Linked DNA regions of Caenorhabditis elegans. The protein of the gene in region 4 interacts with the protein of the main gene of each other region in a pairwise test. Each region holds a gene or a part of one and is shown on either strand. Other genes may lie near its edges. The genes, in order: T06E6.10, abu-10, nekl-2 and gpd-3.

Evidence for each region.
Region 1: the proteins of gpd-3 (region 4) and T06E6.10 interact in a two-hybrid assay, tested with the Caenorhabditis elegans proteins (one large-scale study listed by BioGRID).
Region 2: the proteins of gpd-3 (region 4) and abu-10 interact in a two-hybrid assay, tested with the Caenorhabditis elegans proteins (one large-scale study listed by BioGRID).
Region 3: the proteins of gpd-3 (region 4) and nekl-2 interact in a two-hybrid assay, tested with the Caenorhabditis elegans proteins (one large-scale study listed by BioGRID).

The regions. Positions count from the first base shown.
Region 1 is NC_003283.11:15,415,943-15,420,417, reverse strand, and holds T06E6.10 (TIL domain-containing protein), read right to left. Parts: upstream 2,297-4,475; 5' UTR 2,265-2,296; coding exon 2,216-2,264; intron 2,166-2,215; coding exon 2,055-2,165; intron 2,007-2,054; coding exon 1,934-2,006; intron 1,796-1,933; coding exon 1,611-1,795; intron 1,504-1,610; coding exon 1,431-1,503; intron 1,387-1,430; coding exon 1,257-1,386; intron 1,214-1,256; coding exon 1,085-1,213; 3' UTR 1,017-1,084; downstream 1-1,016. Other genes in the region: srh-265 (Serpentine Receptor, class H), read right to left, coding at 2,802-3,083, 3,131-3,361, 3,618-3,802, 3,861-4,167.
Region 2 is NC_003284.9:3,796,192-3,800,699, forward strand, and holds abu-10 (Activated in Blocked Unfolded protein response), read left to right. Parts: upstream 1-1,990; 5' UTR 1,991-2,031; coding exon 2,032-2,073; intron 2,074-2,130; coding exon 2,131-2,472; intron 2,473-2,521; coding exon 2,522-2,698; intron 2,699-2,743; coding exon 2,744-2,830; intron 2,831-2,872; coding exon 2,873-2,962; intron 2,963-3,006; coding exon 3,007-3,120; intron 3,121-3,175; coding exon 3,176-3,451; 3' UTR 3,452-3,550; downstream 3,551-4,508. Other genes in the region: F35A5.8 (SH3 domain-containing GRB2-like protein B1), read right to left, coding at 4,029-4,133, 4,203-4,304, 4,404-4,500.
Region 3 is NC_003279.8:6,660,922-6,665,949, reverse strand, and holds nekl-2 (Serine/threonine-protein kinase nekl-2), read right to left. Parts: upstream 2,817-5,028; 5' UTR 2,745-2,816; coding exon 2,652-2,744; intron 2,476-2,651; coding exon 2,328-2,475; intron 2,281-2,327; coding exon 2,162-2,280; intron 2,117-2,161; coding exon 1,921-2,116; intron 1,877-1,920; coding exon 1,755-1,876; intron 1,664-1,754; coding exon 1,564-1,663; intron 1,518-1,563; coding exon 1,432-1,517; intron 1,073-1,431; coding exon 863-1,072; 3' UTR 790-862; downstream 1-789. Other genes in the region: ZC581.9 (Protein kinase domain-containing protein), read left to right, coding at 1-35, 554-725; ZC581.7 (Tyrosine-protein kinase), read left to right, coding at 3,663-3,679, 3,728-3,803, 4,066-4,119, 4,167-4,247, 4,296-4,442, 4,495-4,832, 4,944-5,028. UniProt on the Caenorhabditis elegans protein: Probable serine/threonine-protein kinase required for the completion of molting. May play a role in endocytosis in the hypodermis syncytium.
Region 4 is NC_003284.9:3,110,998-3,115,352, forward strand, and holds gpd-3 (Glyceraldehyde-3-phosphate dehydrogenase 3), read right to left. Parts: upstream 2,345-4,355; 5' UTR 2,325-2,344; coding exon 2,085-2,324; intron 2,036-2,084; coding exon 1,907-2,035; intron 1,860-1,906; coding exon 1,203-1,859; 3' UTR 1,094-1,202; downstream 1-1,093. Other genes in the region: gpd-2 (Glyceraldehyde-3-phosphate dehydrogenase 2), read right to left, coding at 2,570-3,226, 3,273-3,401, 3,451-3,690; mai-1 (ATPase inhibitor mai-1, mitochondrial), read right to left, coding at 4,000-4,056.

The DNA.
Region 1 (4,475 bases), on a different chromosome or scaffold from region 4:
ATTTTAAAATAAAAACAATAACCTTGAATGCTAAGTCAATTGCTTGTAACTGATCAGGAGTATTCAAAAACGTGGGTAGCATAAACGTTCCAACGAAGGTGTAATTGAAAATCATCATCGGTATTCGAAAGTGACGCCAAGCCTTATTTTTGCCAAAAAACTGGTAATAACGGTTTTCGAAGATCAACAGATCGGAGTACAACACAGCTGAAAATAGACAAAAACATATTTTCAACTTTCAAAACTGTACATTTTTGAACACTAACATTGAATTAAACATAATTAATGTCATACCGAATAAAAGTGTAAACACCAAATACGCCTGAATGCCAATTGGAACTCCGAATAATGTCGTTAAAAAGCCTAAAGGGACTGCTCCGAGAACTGGGAACACTAGAAATGGAATGGTTAATGCAGTAAGTGATATATCAAATAGGATAGACCAAATATGAGCATTGAATAGAACCCATTTTACCGATTTCATTGCTTGTGGAGTTTTGAATAGAATACAATAAAGTCCAAATACTTGAAGAGGTCACGTAAAAGCGCCCATACTGTGTAGAGTATAGAAAAGAAAGTCCGGGCTTTCCATAAACATAATTTTTCAATATAATATGAAGGAGATTAATTTTCATACAACTTGAGTTGAATTTCACCTGAGCTTCAGAGGCGTACCTCGTTTTGGTGGTTAAAGTATTGCGACAGATGTTTCCGTGCACCGAGAAACAGAAATCATAATGTTTCAAGATCACGTACCGTTTTTGGAATCCTGGAATTATAGGAGGACTAATGGTTCGGAGGAAATTTGAACGTATAGACTCGGCCATTAGATCATTTTTAAAAAATATTGAGAAGTCTCAATTCAAAATTCGCCAATTTGAGCACATTGGAGTTTATACGTTCAAAATCGTCCTCTTTTATGGCATTTTCTTAACGAAACTGGCAAAGTCAAACACAATGATTACTTGAGCCTTGAAGGTTTACAGAAAACAACATCTGAAAATCCATTTGGCAACTTTAGAAAAAATTGGGCAGTTTATTATAGTTTCAGCAAAATATTTGGAAATAAAAAAGTTCTTTCTAGTTACGATTTAATACTTTTCCTCTTCTGCTCATCACACTCTTCCTGGGTAACACATTTGTCATGTTTATCGCGGAAAAATCCATTCAGACAGACGCATCCGGGAAAAGTGCACACCGCTGGGCACATTTTCTGCAAAAATTGTTTTTCTCGAATTTTTCATTGATCCACGTACCCGTTTTTCATTGCACTTGGTGTCAGAGCAAATATTTTTGCACCCAACAAAATGCTCATTCGGACCGCATCCTGGATTGAATGGCTCCGATAAAAAGTTAAGTGGAGTCTCGCATTTTGCTACTGGGTCACTGGAACATGAACAATAAAAACAATTTTAAAAAAAAGTACCTACCAGGGTGTGGTAAAGCATTGAACAGTGTGAAGAGCACACTTCTTGCCGGGTGAACATTTTGTGGTTGTACAAGCTGGAAATTCAGAAATACGCCACCGACACATTGAGGGTAGAAGCTGGCACCTAAGAAGTTGCGACCGACTTATTAAGTGCAGCAGCTGAAATCTTCCAAGCACTCACCATTTACATGAATACAAGTCGGTTTAAGCTCGCATCCGGTCATTGTAGGCGAATCCATACATCCACTTGGCCTAACCATCGCACATCCGGCTGGCGTGTCACATCGAACATCTTTACAACTTGTTCCCACTTGACGACGCTTGCGGATTTGTGTTTTTTTCGGACGACATTCAGCGATTGGGTAGCTAAAACTCATTGATTTTCGGATCATTTGAAAATTAGTTTTAAAAAATGGAGAATTTGTTATTTTATCCCTCGCAGCCGACATCTTACCGGTCATTTTTAAAAATCACTAAAAATAGTTTCGTTTAAAAAATTCCCACCATGGCGCCATAATACAGGTTACTTGGACCAATACACATTCCTCTGTTGGAGCACAGCTTTTGGTATTGCAATCTGAAATTTTTGAATTTAAAATACGTTTTTTTTCTCCGAACCGCTTACCATTCTTTTCCAAGCACTCTGGTCCTGGCTCACAGTCCGGGCAACTAGCAACCATTCCACAGCCTCCAGGGCTTCCACATCTAACATTGGCGCAAGTTATTCCAGTTTTTCCTGAAAAAAGGTTGTATGTCAGTTGCAGGCACATTTTTCAAAACTCTCACCTGTACTTGCTCCCATGATCAAAGAGCTCAGAAGTATCAACAAAATCATGGCTAGTAGCACCAGAATCACCTAAAAAATTGAATTGTATTAAGTTTTTATAAATTTTATGGTATTTTTTAAAAACGATTCTATAAAACATTTTTTAATAGTTTATAACAAATGAATTCAAATATATATTTTTATATTAAAAAAAAAGATTAGGCGTACACTATGTCGCCCGTTTACTGATGAAGGTAACAAATCACAAGTCAGAAACATCACTCGTTGAAGAAGAAATATCTGTCTCTCTCTCTAAGCCTGCTTGTAATGAAAAAAAATTGGCTGAACAAAGTTCAAGAAGGTCAGTTGGGCTATGTGAAAAAAAAGAAGAAAATTAAAACGTTTATTGAAGACAACTGTCGTGTCTGTGTGTAATATTGAATCAATTGATAACAAATTAACATATTAGAAGTTTCATGAGCCACAATTCAAACTGAAAATTAGGCTGGACCGGAAAAATGTTTTCATGTAGATTTTCAATGTGATTTATAGTGGTACAATGTATACTGGCAACATTTTTTTGCTAGCTTTTTAGAATACAATATATCAAAACAAAGAAGTATTTTGATTAGATATAATTATTCCTATTGGATTCACAATTGGCTGAGTTTTGAAACAACCGATCGAGGAGCTAATTAACCGGAAGATATTGACTACTGCTTTCTTATAAGGCTTATATGCCGAGAGCAGAATTACCGTGCAGAACGATCCACGTGCTGCCACAAAAATGAAAATAAAATTGTTGGCAATGGGATTGTAGTAGTTTGTGAAACAAGAATACAACATATATACGTATGGAGTAAAACAAGTCAAGAAAAATGCCCCGCTCTGAATTTATTATTTCAACTTTGGTGAGAGTTTTTTTTTTGGCTCACCTGTGCATATAAAGCCATTAAGAACTTCAACTGAAGTTGCATTGTTTGCCGTGACTGCGTTGATTTCTTGATTGACGATCTCACATTCCAATCAGTTATTAAAATCAAAGGAACAAATTCCGTAAGTTGAAATGCTGTGATGAAGATGAAAGATCCCAGAAAAAGTTTGAAATCTGTTGCCCATATGAAAAAGTTCATGGATCTGAGTTCAACGGGAAGGTTCGGAACTTGCTGAAATATACTGTTCATAATTTGGCTAAAATGCATGTTTATACTTATTTCAATTATGATAACTTAACATAAACATATGCCAAATTTACCCGGCACATTGTCAGCTATCTCTCACCTAGAAAGTTTTAAGTTTGTTCTAACTGGTGGCGTTAGTGACGGCGTAAAGCCGATGATGGAACTCGAAGGCAGGCGGAAGCGCCTCGTCGGAGCATATATAGAAAGCCTAGTTCAGCTACTACTACAAATAAACGGTCACCTTGAAAGCTAAATCAATAGCTTGTAACTGATCAGGAGTATTCAAAAACGTCGGAAGCATGAAAATTCCAACGGCACCATAATTAATGATAATGAATGGAACGCGAAAGTGCCGCCAACTTTTGTTTTTTGCAAATAATTGATAGTAGCGATTTTCGAAGATCAGCATGTCTGAGAACAAGACCGCTGAAAGTTGAGATTAATTTGATTAAAAAGTGGAGTTTGAAAATGAGTGGCGTCATACTGAATAGAAGTGTGAACACCAAATATGCCTGAATATCAATTGGAACTCCGAATAATGTCGTTAGAAAACCTAGTGGAACTGTTCCGAGAACTGGAAAAACTAGAAATGTGATGGTTAGTGCAGTAACTGTTATATCGAAGATAAGGGACCAAATATGAGAATTCAAAAGTACCCATTTGACAGAATTCATTGTTTGTGGTGTTTTGAATAGAATGCAATAAAGACCGAGTATTTGGAGAGGGCAAGTGACAGCTCCCATTCCATGTAGAGAATAAAATAAGAAATCCGGACTTTCCATAAACATCATTTTTGAATCAAAAAGTAGAATGGGATCAATAAGACTTTTAAGTTTCACCTGAGCTTTTAAGGAGTATTTTATATTGAAGTTTCGACAGGTGTTTTCTAACACCCAGAAACAAAAATCACAGTTTCGTACAAAATATGGCATTACTTTTTTGGAATCTAACAAATCTAGCAAAACTTATTTATTATAACGCTCGTGTGTGCTTTATTTTTAGTTAATATACTGAACATTTTCAAAAAAATTATTCATGAACTAATTGTTTCATATACATAAATAGTATCAAAACCATCACGGAATTTCCCAGTTCAGCT
Region 2 (4,508 bases), 690 kb from region 4:
AAAAATGGTCACAAGTTAATTTTTTTTTTAATAAATAGAAACCGTGTACTCCACTGACAATCAGGCAAAAAAAAAACAGTTTCTGGAAATAATAGAAGATTTTGTTATACTTTTGTAATAAAGTTACACGCACTAGTGGACAAAAATGAAGACTACAGCAAACTTCAGTCATTTTTTTTTTATTTTTGAAAACATTTTGAAAAATTTCAAAAAGTTTCTTACAAAATCTTTTCATCTTGTGAAAAGGCTTGCAGCTACACCGTAGATCCATATTTAAAAATAACAGAAGGTTTTGTTTTATAGAGAAACCATTCACAATAAATACTAATACCTTGATGTTAATTATGAAAAAGTCAGAACTCCATGTTTCTTACGTGAAAAAAAACACTGAAAAAAACATTGTTGACCATTTTCAGAAAATAAAATTTAATGGAAACATACTTTTAGTGAATGAGTATTTAATGTAAAACTAGATCACCCTCCCCCCCCCCCCCTCCCAGCAAACTTTTGAGCTCATCCCAATGGTCTGAAAACACGCATAATTCGAAAACGTTCCTCATCACATCAAACGAACATATATTTCAAGTACATGCGTTTTTGCGGGCACACTGATAAAACAGAGCCGGCACAGAGTGCTCACGTACCGGTTCTCGTACGTTGCTCAACTCTCCTGTAACATGACCACCCCTGAGCTTTTAATCCGATTCCGGCGCAACTTTTTGTGCTGCTTTCCTTCATCCTCAGACACAAACATTGCAACCTTTTATCCAGCCGGCAATCGAACTCAACTCAACCCCTCAACCGGTATCTAAAGTAAAGGCAAGCGGTCTGAGTAATGAAGAATGTGATAATTGGGGTTCTTTGTATTTGTTTGTTGGGAGGGAGAAGAATCAACGAGAGATTGTGCAAATGCAACAGCTGAAAGCGTTAACCAGTTTCTCAGCTTGTATTCTTCTATGACGCGGTCTCTATTTACGGACTATTTGCAAATAACGCATCACTTGAACTTTTCAATGCAAGTGTTCGGAGATTGAAAGTTCTGTGTCACTACATTCACGTATTGTTGAAAACTATAACGGATATATTACAAGACGGTCTAGACAAAAATTGGGAAAAAAAGCTCTACTGAAAATGGGATATTAAACTACTACCTTTCAGAAATACTTTCAGAACAATATTACTTGATACAAAAGAAAGATCTTCAAAATAGCTTGCTGGTACTCCAACTAAAAAGATATAATAATCAATTTTTTTTTTACAAATCGGTGCAAAATAGTCGTTCGTTTACTAGTCATGCTTTGAAAAAATTTAAGCTTAACAATGCAACCTAACCTCGATTTTTTTCAAATTAAATTACAATTTCAAATGAGAATAAAGAGAACCTTCTACAACTTGAACATTCTGTGAACTATTGGAAAACACTGGACATTGAATGAAACAAAATTTTTAAACATTCACATTTGCGACGTTGGGCCGTTATTTATTGTCTCGAAAGAGGAAAAAAATGTCTGACAAATTGGAAAAGTACAGTAGATTCAACTGTCACACTTTTTTGTAAAGTAGGGCCTAAAATTAGTAGACTCGAGTTTTGAATTGGTGAGCCAATATCTCTCTTGACACAATTGAAGTGTTTTTAAACTGGTTAGAAGACTAGACTGAAATATATTATAGCTAACATCACTTTGGATAGTATGCGTCTTCGGCAAAATTTCATGTGCGCAAGAAGCCAAAAACAAACAATGTTTATTTGTGTGCACGCATTTTTTCAGCACACGGTTTTCATTTTCTCTGACTAAACTTTTTTCCCCCTCCTTACCATATTCCCACAGGTGCTCTAATCCGATCATAACTACTCATCTGTGTTTGATGCACAATTGAAACTGCCTTCGTTCTTTTTTGTCGCCTGTTCTTGCGCATGCCGGTCTTACCCTCTTGCCATGACTCCTCCCGGCGGGCGCGTATAAATATGAGGAGCAAAAGTTGAGTTGTCAGTAGTAGCTTGGCTTCGAATACTCTCTAACAAAAGCAGCAATGTTCCGCTCTGCATTTTCAATTTTTGCTATTGTCGCCCTGGTGAGATTTCTTTTTTTTTTCATTCCATTTTATTTATAAATTCCCCGCCATTTTCAGGCACTTTCGGCACCAACTCTTAGAGAAAAGCGTCAGGCTTGCTCATGCGCCCCAGTTCAGCAGCAACCATCGTGCTGCCAACAATCCACCATCAATGTCCAGGTTCAGTACACTCAGGTCCAACAAGCTCCAGCTCAAGACCCATGTGCTTGCCAGCCACAGCAGCAGCAGCCTGCGTGCAACTGTGCTCCAGTTCAGCAAGATCCATGTGCTTGCCAGCCACAACAGCAGCAGCCGGCTTGTAACTGTGCTCCAGTTCAACAAGATCCATGCGCCTGCCAGCAACAGCAACCATCCTGCGATTGCGCTCCAGTTCAACAGCAACCAGCCTGTGACTGCCAGGTAGGCTGTTAATGTAAGAGCGACGAATAAAAGTAACCCATCTTTGCAGCCACAACAACAACCAGCCTGTGATTGTGCTCCAGTTGCTCAACAACCAGCTTGTGACTGCCAACAAAACCCATCATGTGTGACCTGCATCCAAATCGAGATCCGTCAGCAACAAGCTCAACAGCCAGCTTGCGATTGTGCTCCAGTTCAGCAGAACCCATGTTGCCAACAAGCTCAGGTACAATATATTTGGTAAATGTTGGATGAACTTTTGAAGTTTCAGCCAGCCTGTGATTGCGCTCCAGTCCAACAGCAACCATCTTGCGATTGCGCTCCAGTTCAACAGAACCCATGCTGCCAACAAGCTCAGGTATGGCATTTTGAACAATTTTTTTTAGTCCGGTAATTTCAGCCAGCCTGCGACTGTGCCCCAGTCCAACAGCAACCAGCCTGTGATTGTGCTCCAGTCCAGCAGAACCCATGCTGCCAACAACAGGCTCAGGTAAATCACACTCCAGAGTTTTCCATTAAGTTTGTGAATTACAGTCAACTTGCGACTGTGCCCCAGTTCAACAGAACCCGTGCTGCCAACAAGCTCAGCCAGCTTGTGATTGTGCCCCAGTTGTTCAGCAAAACCCATGCGCTTGCCAACAGGCTCAGGTAAAGACTATTGCTTTTTGACCAGTAAATTAACTATGGATATCTAAACTTCCAGCCATCCTGTGATTGCGCCCAACAAGCTCAGCCAACCTTCCAAGTCCAAGTTCAACAAGCGCAACCAATCAATCAGTGCGTCCCAGCTTGCCAGCCAGCTTGCCAGTCATCGTGCACCGCTTCGTACACCAACCAACAATCCCAACATTCGTCAGCTACTACTTCCTGCGATGCTAACCAATGCGTATGCCAACGCGGATACGTCAAGTGCGCCGAGCAGACCTGCTGTCTTAGATACAGATACACCAACCGCAAGGCAAAGCGATCGATCGCCTAAACGAACTCATTTCTGACCATGTCTTTCTTTTTCGACTTCACGCAAACTATTTGTACATTTCGGTAATATTATTGCCATTACATAAAGTAGTTTTATATTATTTCCTTTTACACAATGAGTATATGCAATGAAGATATAAATGAAAAAATGATTAAGAATCATTTCTATGATGTTCAAATTACCAATTTTCGTCTAAATTACAACAAAATCACTGAAAAAGATTTGAGAAAAATGCAATTTTCTTTTAGGAAACTCTATTTGAAGTTTGAAAACCAGAAGATTTTCACAAAGGGTTGGTTCTATCATTATCTAAAACAGCAATCGTAGAAGAGATTTGAGAGTTTTCTTCAAAACTAAACTTTTTATATTGTGTTCAATATTGTTAACGAATTTTTGATCTTTAAATTTCCCATTTATTTTAAATCTAAATAACCTATACAATAATAAGCGCATTTGAGGAGTCAAATAAATAGACACATTTCAATTGAGATCTTCCACAATAAATAAGACACCTTACTAAAACATTTTTGGCACATGAACAAAGTACTAAGACAATAAATTAATGAATGCAGCGTTTCTAGAGCAGCTCAATATAGCTGACAGGCAATTTTCCGCGTTTTCCTCCTTTTTCAGCCATCACATATTCCGCATCCATTCCAGGAAGGCGATACACGATGAGAATCTGCAACAAGAGCAGACGTAATTTCACACAATATTTGGTTTCAATAGGGGTCCTCCTCTCAAGACTCACATCATTCTGGGTGACGCTGATCTCTTGTGGCAGCACTGCATCGTAGTCCATGATCACTTTGGCTTGCTTGGTTCCCAAGTCATCCGGCAGTAGGCCACTTGGCTGGAAAATCAGTAATTTGAAGAGATGTTCGTGATGGGAAATAATTGAAAATCACTGGAACGGAAACAACGCTTTCCACGAAGTTCTTCCCCAACTAACCTTGGCCGCCGCTATTGCCGCCGCCATAGTCCTTCCGTTTGGCGGGTCGCCACTATTGTTCACCAGTATTGCCGAGCTTCCGCGAAATGACATGGTGCTGAAAGC
Region 3 (5,028 bases), on a different chromosome or scaffold from region 4:
ACTTCAAGAAACCTTGGTGATCGGAATAGTATGAAGTGAGTTTAAAGAAATCAACTACTTACATATGTCACATATTCACGGGATATAACATAAAAGACAATCAAAGAAATGCCTCGGCAAAACGTCGCAACTTCATAGCATACTCCTGCAACTTAATAAAAACATTTATATAACTTTGTAAAAAGCTGTTAAGAAGTTGCGAAAACCAACGGGATTGTGAGCGAAATTTAGCTTTACATCTGCTAAGAAATTGCAAAAGTCGTCTGAAAAGCTGCAGAAGTTTGCCTAAAAGCTAAAATGCCTAATTGTTGTTAAGAAGTTGCAAGAGTATGCTATGAAGTTAGGCCGTTTTGCCGAGTGGGTGGCTTTGAGGAGTACTGTAACTCTCAACTCCTTGTTGTTACGGTTTTTGCTACAATAATACCATGGTTATCCATTTCTCATAGGGACCTTAAAAAGGCAATTGCCTGTCAACTTGAATAAAACATACATGTACCGTAGGTTTAGGGCAAAAAACTTGCACTACATATGAATTAAAATCCAAATATTTCAGTTTCAAACAGAGGAATGCGCGCGCCTCAGAAAGACGAGCCCGAACCCGATCTCCGAATGCTGAACTGGATCCTCAACGTGAACAACCACCTGCTCGACCAAACTCATTTACAAATCTCGGCCACAACATTGTTCTCACCTACCGTAATCTTTTGTACAAAGATCATACCTAGCATACTTTGTTTTGTCCACTTTCTCATTTCCCGTACAGTAACATTTGTGATATTTTGCCCACTTCCGAATGATTGGTTTTTATGTGAAAAAATAACTTCAATTTTAATTTTAAAGAAACAAACAATTAATACAGGAGTTAATACTTTGAATGCACTTGACTTCTTGATTGTGTTCTCTGATTTGATGTTCTTCCACTTGAAAAGAATCCAGAATCAATATGAGATGGCATTGGTGTTAATTGTGTCAAATGGGTAGTTGGAGCATTTGATGATAAAGAATACGGACGAAGTGTTGATTGTGTTGGATACGTTCGAAGTCGACTGCTCAATGAAGCTGATGGCTTTCTCTGAAAAAAATAAAATTCATGACAAGTAATGAACATCATTTCAAAGTACGGCTGAAAAAAATCCGGATTCTGTGCGATCAAGTGATCATTTTTGATGTGTTACAGAGGTTTTTCAATAATTTTTTGGTTTTCCAGCACTATTTCAGAATGTAATTTATCTGGTATTTAATTAAGAAGATTAGAACAAAAGCATGCTTTTATATTTTCCGCTGTTTGACCTACAGAACTCGCTAGGAATTTATTTTTACTAGCATGACGTCGATGGTTTCTTTAAAACTGAATTATGATTCCCTGTTAAGGCCAGATAGTAAACATGACATTTTTCTCTAAATCAAAACACTAATACAATTAAAAATTACCTTATCCGTCGGTGGAGGTTCGATTCTTCCCAAATCGCAATGAATTGATATCAAATAGGGAAGAACAAGTGGATCGGAAAGCAGCTCTGAAAATTAATCGATTACATTTCCAAGTGTGGAAATTTTTTTTACGTGATACGTCCGGTCTCTTATCCGTGTGTGTTTTAAGTAAGTTTTCCACTAACATCTTCACATCGTTTGATACGTGATCTCCCAACGGGTTTTGCTTTGACTGGAAATTGAGTGATACATGATTAAATTTAAAAATTTAACATCAGGGAACAATGCAAGGGTTTTGGGACCTATCCTTTTTTGGTACATACCCGGGTGATTTTCATTACAATGGCTGGTAAATTTTCGCCGTCAAATGCTCTTTCAAGCTGAAGAAGCTCATACAAAACACATCCTAAAGACCACATGTCACTTTTTTGATTGTACGGGCGACCTGAATATTATATTTTCATGATTATTAAAATGAAATTGACATACTTTCACAAATTTCAGGGCTTAAATAGTTTGGAGTTCCAATAACAGTCGACGCTGCAGATTTCGTTCCAAGCTCCTTTGAAATTCCAAAATCCGATAGCTTCAGAACAGTCTTTCGGCGATTCATAAGAATGTTTTGAGGCTTAAGGTCACGATGAACGATATTTTTCTGGTGCATATGATTGAGTGCAATAAGAATCTTCAAAAATATTTGTTTCAGTAAAAAGTTAAGATGATAACTAACCTGTGTAAAATAATCTAAAACAGTTTTTTCGGGAAAATATTCTCTCATGTTTGAATCTTTAATCGCTCTCTGATCATTTATTAATCTCTCTAATGTTCCTCCTTCCGCGTACTGCATAACTGAACATATCGAATTTTAATTCAATTTTAAAATTAAATTTACTTACCAATTCCAAGTTGATTATCCATAATAAAAGAATCAATATACCCGATTATTAATGGATGTTGAACTTTTTTCAACAAATTTACTTCACTCTGAATGCTATTTTCCTCTTTTTCAGTCATTCCGTGAGTATTGATGAGTTTTATAATTACCTGAAAAATTAAATTATAAAGTTAGTAGATTATAACACAGTACTGCTATTTGAAAAAAAAACTGATTTTCCAATAAAATAAGTATTTCTAAAAATTGATTATTTTCCCTAAATTAAACCATACCAGGCTTCAAATGTAAAAGAGTCCAACGAAACTATTACAATTGTCTGACTAACCTTTTGATGTGATGCATCATTTTTACCGCGACACAGCCAACAAACTCCAAAAGCACCACGTCCGACGACACGCACTTTTTCATAATTGTCCATTTGAAAATAATATTTGAATAGATAGGATTCAAAACTATAAATTCTAGAAAAATGTGAAGACGTGACTAATCAGTGAAAAATAATCAATAACCGACGGTGTTCTTCTTCTGCGTCTCTCTGAAAGAACAGGTTTATTATCAAAGGGATTGGGGAAGTCATTGAAAAATGCCGCGCATTTTTTATATATCACTTGTCTCTTTGACAGATCCTAGTGGTTTTTCATGTGATAAGTTTAACCTGTAAAACGAACACACGAACACTGTTCGCTTTATTTTGGTTAACAATTTCAACGAAACGGCAAGAAATCAATCAAACAAATCAATTAATGTTTCTCTTCGAAGACATATTCTCTAAATTATAAAAGATTGTTTGACCTCAAAAAAATGGCATAAAAAACTCAATTCTAGAGAAATAATAGAAAACTTTGGCCACCTGGAGCAATGGATACACAGATAGAACGGCTATTTTTAATTGGCAGAAAGTTGGCAGACCGCCAGCAGTTAGTTGGGGGGACAAATATATAGCACCAGAGGTGTGCCATCTGCCATTTAACTGCAAATAAACTGCCGTTTATCTGCTTACACCACACAAATTTAAGCCTTTTTAAAAGTCATGTTGGCTATTATTATGCAGTATTCTGGTTTATTTCTAGGCAAAATTGCAGTTTTTGTAGGTAAAAACAAGCAGTCTTGGATACAAAATGATACATAAAAAATTTTTCATGCACTGACCAATTGAAAATTAGACTTGCAGGCAATACTAATAAATAGGAAAAAAAGAATTCTTTGTTTGAAAAATTGATTTTAATTTTAATAAAATGATGACAACGTGAACTCATTCCCTCCCCCCTCCACCTTTCAATAAAAAGGTTTTGAACTTCGCTCCAAGTTCAGTTCTTAGTTTTTATCCAACGCGGAAATGGCTAACAAAGAAAAGTGAGTTGAATTTAAATGCGGTTGTTGTTAAAATCTTCATGAATTCAGGATTCTTGAAGAGGACATTAACCTACCGTATTATCATGGTGCACTCATGAACCAGGATGCTGATCAGCTTCTAGTTGTAAGTGACAATTTAGAGGGCGCTTTATCCGTGGATCTTATGTCATTTCGTATCCACTGTACACATATTGACTCAATCAGTGACCACAATGGACCTATCGCGAGCACGCGCTCAACACAAACGTAACGTGATGAGCGTCTACAGCGATCTTACAAGGGTCCTGGTGAACACAATAACTGTCTAGATGGATTTCCAGATGGAATTGGTTTCAAATTTGAAGAACGTTGGATTTTTCAACATAAACGATTTTAATTTTTTTCAGAATGACGGTGACTACATGATTGTTGTAAAAATGAATCAGGAATTGAACAAAATGGTTTGCCAATTTAGTTTAAATAATCTTCAAAAGTGAATTTATTTCAGCAACTCTACTTGGCTGTTCGTTTGAAAAAAGGAATACGTCGTTTCGAAATCAAACGGAATCCGACTTCTGCAAAGATTGGGGTATGCATGCACCGTACTTCTAACTAACAAATTTAATATTGTTTTCAGGGAAAATCAGCTCCTAATATTGGGAAGCTGGTTGACTCAATGCAAAAAGAAACTATGGAAATCAAAGGAGAACGGGTGATCTTGAAACGTGCGATTCCCAAGGGAAAGTTCCAATTAATGCATAAAGATGTGGACTTTAAAAAGAAGGTATTAATTATTAATGAAAGAGGCTTCAATACCTGAAAACCTTAATTTTCAGCTTGGTAGTGGAGCCTACGGAACCGTCTATCTTGGCCGTCTCACCAAGAACAATACCAAAATTGCTGTAAAAAAACTTGACACTGAAGGAAACGACGAAGAATCATTAGCCGAGATGATGAAGGAAGCGAGAGTTATGCAACTCTATGACCATCCAAATATTGTAAAGTTCTATGGATACATTGTTGATGATATTCCATACTTGCTGGTTCTGGAGCTTTGTAACGGTGGATCGGTAGAGGATAAACTAGTGGAAAAGGGAGCCAAGTTGAGCACAAAGACAAGGATCATGTACACTTATCACGCTGCATGTGGGATAGAGTACTTGCACAAGAAGAAGTTAGTTTCTTTCTGATTTTTCACCCAAGACATGTGATATGATAGTGAGAGATTTTTTGTGGTTTTTTCCTCACTTCCAAAGAACTGGTTCACTGTAATCTACTTTTTCAGATGCATCCACCGCGACATTGCCGCTCGAAACTGTCTCATTCACAAGGAAATCGTCAAAATTGCTGACTTTGGAATGTGCCGTGCC
Region 4 (4,355 bases):
TTTGTGGCAGAAAAAAAAAGAGTGCTATTATAAAATATCGAATTTCAATTTCACGTTATTTCGGCAAACTACATTTACTTGGGAGGATTTGCTTCATTTTGTTCCGAGCCCCCAAATGCTTTTTTTTTTTGGTTCTTCTTTTCTGTCACGAGCCAGTAATTTTTCTGAATCGATGAGAAGGGCAAAATGGAAGAAGAAAAAGAAATAGTGAGGAAAAAAGAAGATGGGCTCCGGGGAATTGGAAACGCACCCGCACAAAAGAGAATATAAAGAGAATAAAGAGAAAAAGAAAAACGGCGTGAAGCGAAACAAGAAAAAAACGCAGCCAGCTTTCTATGCTTCATTTCAAGTGTACCCGTAGAAGCAGGCAGACTTCGTCAGAGTCATGCGTACATCGTTTCCCGCATTTTGAGGCAAAAAATAACGTCACTAACAACAGGTTGATGGATTTTGCCACGTGACTTTGTGATATCTATTCTCGTTTTTTCCTTCATCTTTCAACTGTCTACGACAAAGAATAACGTGACCATAGGAATTTTCTGAGATTGTATAATTGCGAATGAAATATCAAATATGGAAAGGTAGATGAAAAGTAGAAGTACCCCAAAATATTATTAAATTTTTAAAATTAAATCTGGAATTTTTAGGTCTACAAATAATTATTTCTCACGAGTTTACCATTACAAAAAGTTATCCTATGAAAATATATTGTGATACATCTACTACATAAGTGACCAAAAATTGTTTCCAATAAGTTTTCTATTCAGGCTTAGAAAAGCACTAATCCTAAGCTTAATAGTTAATATTTTTTGGGACTACACAAGTATCCCAAATGACTCTGGGAAAAATGTTAGCAAAGTGACAATGTGCCGACATTTTGAGTGCACATTGCACTCTACACTGGACACTTCTCATCGCTTCTCAATTTAATGTAAACATAGAGGCTAGACGGAAACTTAATCGGGTTTGTATGACGGACAATCACAACGAAGAATATAAATGAGTGTAAACCTCGTGAAAGGTTCGAATTCAACGTTTCAAATTTGATATAGCCATTGAAAAATGCTTTCTATCCAACAACACAGTTTTAGTTACTCCAGCTAAAAGATTTATTCTTATAAAGAAAATGAGAATCAAAGTTACAATAATGTGGAATTTATTATGTTACAGATTCATTTCAGACTTAGAGAATTTGAAGCGGCTTAGGCCTTGGTAGCAATGTAGGAGATAAGGTCGACGACTCTGTTGGAGTATCCGAACTCGTTATCGTACCATGAGACGAGCTTGACAAAGTGTGGGTTGAGTGAGATGGATGCTCCGGCATCGAAGATGGAAGAGTTGGTATCGGAGACAAAGTCAGTGGAGACAACTTGATCCTCGGTGTAAGCGAGAATTCCCTTCATTGGTCCGTCAGCGGCAGCCTTGATAACCTTCTTAATGTCATCGAGGGAAGCTGGCTTCTCAAGACGAGCAGTGAGATCAACAACAGAGACATCTGGGGTTGGGACACGGAAAGCCATTCCGGTGAGCTTTCCATTGAGCTCTGGGATAACCTTGCCGACAGCCTTAGCGGCTCCAGTAGAGGCTGGGATGATGTTTTGTCCAGCTCCACGTCCGTCTCTCCAGAGCTTTCCTGATGGTCCGTCAACAGTCTTTTGGGTGGCGGTGACGGCGTGGACAGTGGTCATAAGTCCCTCAATAATTCCGAAGTTGTCATTGATGACCTTGGCAAGTGGAGCAAGGCAGTTAGTGGTGCAGGAAGCATTGGAGATGATGTGGTCGTTGGCATGATCGTACTTCTCGTGGTTGACTCCGACGACGAACATTGGAGCATCAGCAGATGGAGCAGAGATGATGACCTGAAATTTAAATATATTTATCTTGAAAAATTAAATCACTAATTTACCTTCTTGGCTCCTCCCTTCAAGTGAGCATTGGCCTTCTCGATGGTGGTGAAGACTCCGGTGGACTCAACGACATAGTCGGCTCCAGAGGCTCCCCATTGGATCTCAGCTGGGTCTCTTGAGTTGTAGACCTGAAATTGAATAGAATATTAGGTGAAATCTAATTGGAAATAATTCTACCTTGATCTTGTGCTGGGACTTTCCTTCCTTGGCGACAAGAAGGTAGTCTCCCTCGTGGGCAACGGTTCCCTTGAAGCGTCCGTGAGTGGAATCGTACTGGAACAAGTAGACCATGTAGTCGATGGAGATGAATGGATCGTTGACGGCAACAACATTGACACTGTCCTTCTCGACAGCGGCGCGGAGGACAAGACGTCCGATTCTTCCGAATCCGTTGATTCCGACACTTGGCTTGGTCATGATGCGTTGAAGCAGTTTCCCTGAATTAAAATTAGAAGTTGAAAATACAATAGAAAGAAAATTGGAAGGTATATAAACTCGCAAAAACGAGGAAATGGCAGATTCAATAAGATGAATAAATATACAACCTTTATTGAGAAGAGACCATTTATATACTTGTAAGCTTCTAGGAAAATTTTAGATACTAAAGAGAAGCATAGATTTTAAGACAAGCAGTTAACTAGGTGAAAGTAGGATGAGACAGCTTAGGCCTTGGTGGCGATGTACGAGATGAGATCAACAACTCTGTTGGAGTATCCGAACTCGTTATCGTACCACGAGACGAGCTTGACGAAGTGTGGGTTGAGTGAGATGGATGCTCCGGCATCGAAGATGGAAGAGTTGGTATCGGAGACAAAGTCGGTGGAGACAACTTGATCCTCAGTGTAAGCGAGAATTCCCTTCATTGGTCCGTCAGCGGCAGCCTTGATAACTTTCTTGATGTCATCGAGGGAAGCTGGCTTCTCAAGACGAGCAGTGAGATCAACAACAGACACATCTGGGGTTGGGACACGGAAAGCCATTCCGGTGAGCTTTCCATTGAGCTCTGGGATAACCTTTCCAACAGCCTTAGCGGCTCCAGTAGAGGCTGGGATGATGTTCTGTCCAGCTCCACGTCCGTCTCTCCAGAGCTTTCCTGATGGTCCGTCAACAGTCTTTTGGGTGGCGGTGACGGCGTGGACAGTGGTCATAAGTCCCTCAATAATTCCGAAGTTGTCATTGATGACCTTGGCAAGTGGAGCAAGGCAGTTAGTGGTGCAGGAAGCATTGGAGATGATGTGGTCGTTGGCATGATCGTACTTCTCGTGGTTGACTCCGACGACGAACATTGGAGCATCAGCAGATGGAGCAGAGATGATGACCTAAAAATTTAAATATATTTATGCACAAAAGTTGATTACAAGTTACCTTCTTGGCTCCTCCCTTCAAGTGAGCGTTGGCCTTCTCGATGGTGGTGAAGACTCCGGTGGACTCAACGACATAGTCGGCTCCAGAGGCTCCCCATTGGATTTCAGCTGGGTCTCTTGAGTTGTAGACCTGAAATTTAAGAGAATGTTTAACAAAATATGTTTGGAAAATATTCTACCTTGATCTTGTGCTGCGACTTCCCTTCCTTGGCGACAAGAAGGTAGTCTCCCTCGTGAGCAACGGTTCCCTTGAAGCGTCCGTGGGTGGAGTCGTACTGGAACAAGTAGACCATGTAGTCGATGGAGATGAATGGATCGTTGACGGCAACAACGTTGACACTGTCCTTCTCGACAGCGGCGCGGAGGACAAGACGTCCGATTCTTCCGAATCCGTTGATTCCGACACTTGGCTTTGGCATGGCTGAAAATTGATACTACTACAATCAGTTCAACTAACATACAAACGACAAATAAAAATAGAATGATCGAAATGAAAATCGAATCAAATTGAAGAGAGAAGAATATGAAGTGAAGCCATAAAAACCATGTTTACTATTTGACGAAACATGTGCAGTAAGCGAAAAAAAAATGATGCAATAGGCAAGATGAAGAAATGCGGTGTGAGAGAGAAAATAGAGAGGAGAGAATAAGTATGCATAAAAAGAAAGGGAAAATTGAAAATGATGATGCAAAAAGAACAGAGAGCCGTTTGAAAAGCCCTCTATTTTTTATGTTCCGTGTCCTTTCTCGATTTCCTTCAGTCGTTGCTGATGTTGTTCGAGAACCTGAAATGAAAGTATTGAAGAACGTTGAAAGGTAGTGGAAAACAAAAAAAAAGAGATTGTTTGTGAAAACCAATCTATCTCTTCATTATGCTCGCTAGTCGCCCGTCTCTCTAACATATCAAGGTCAACTGTGTAAAATAGAGAGATTCGAAAGGAGTCCCCGGTCTATTTTGAATCAGTTCTAGAACACGCCACTTTCGCAGATAAGAGTTTCGGCAGTGTCATGTGACACATCAAAGAATAACGAGTTAATCAACAACAATATTTTCCTGCGTGTTTTCCTTAAATGGAGTGTCTCG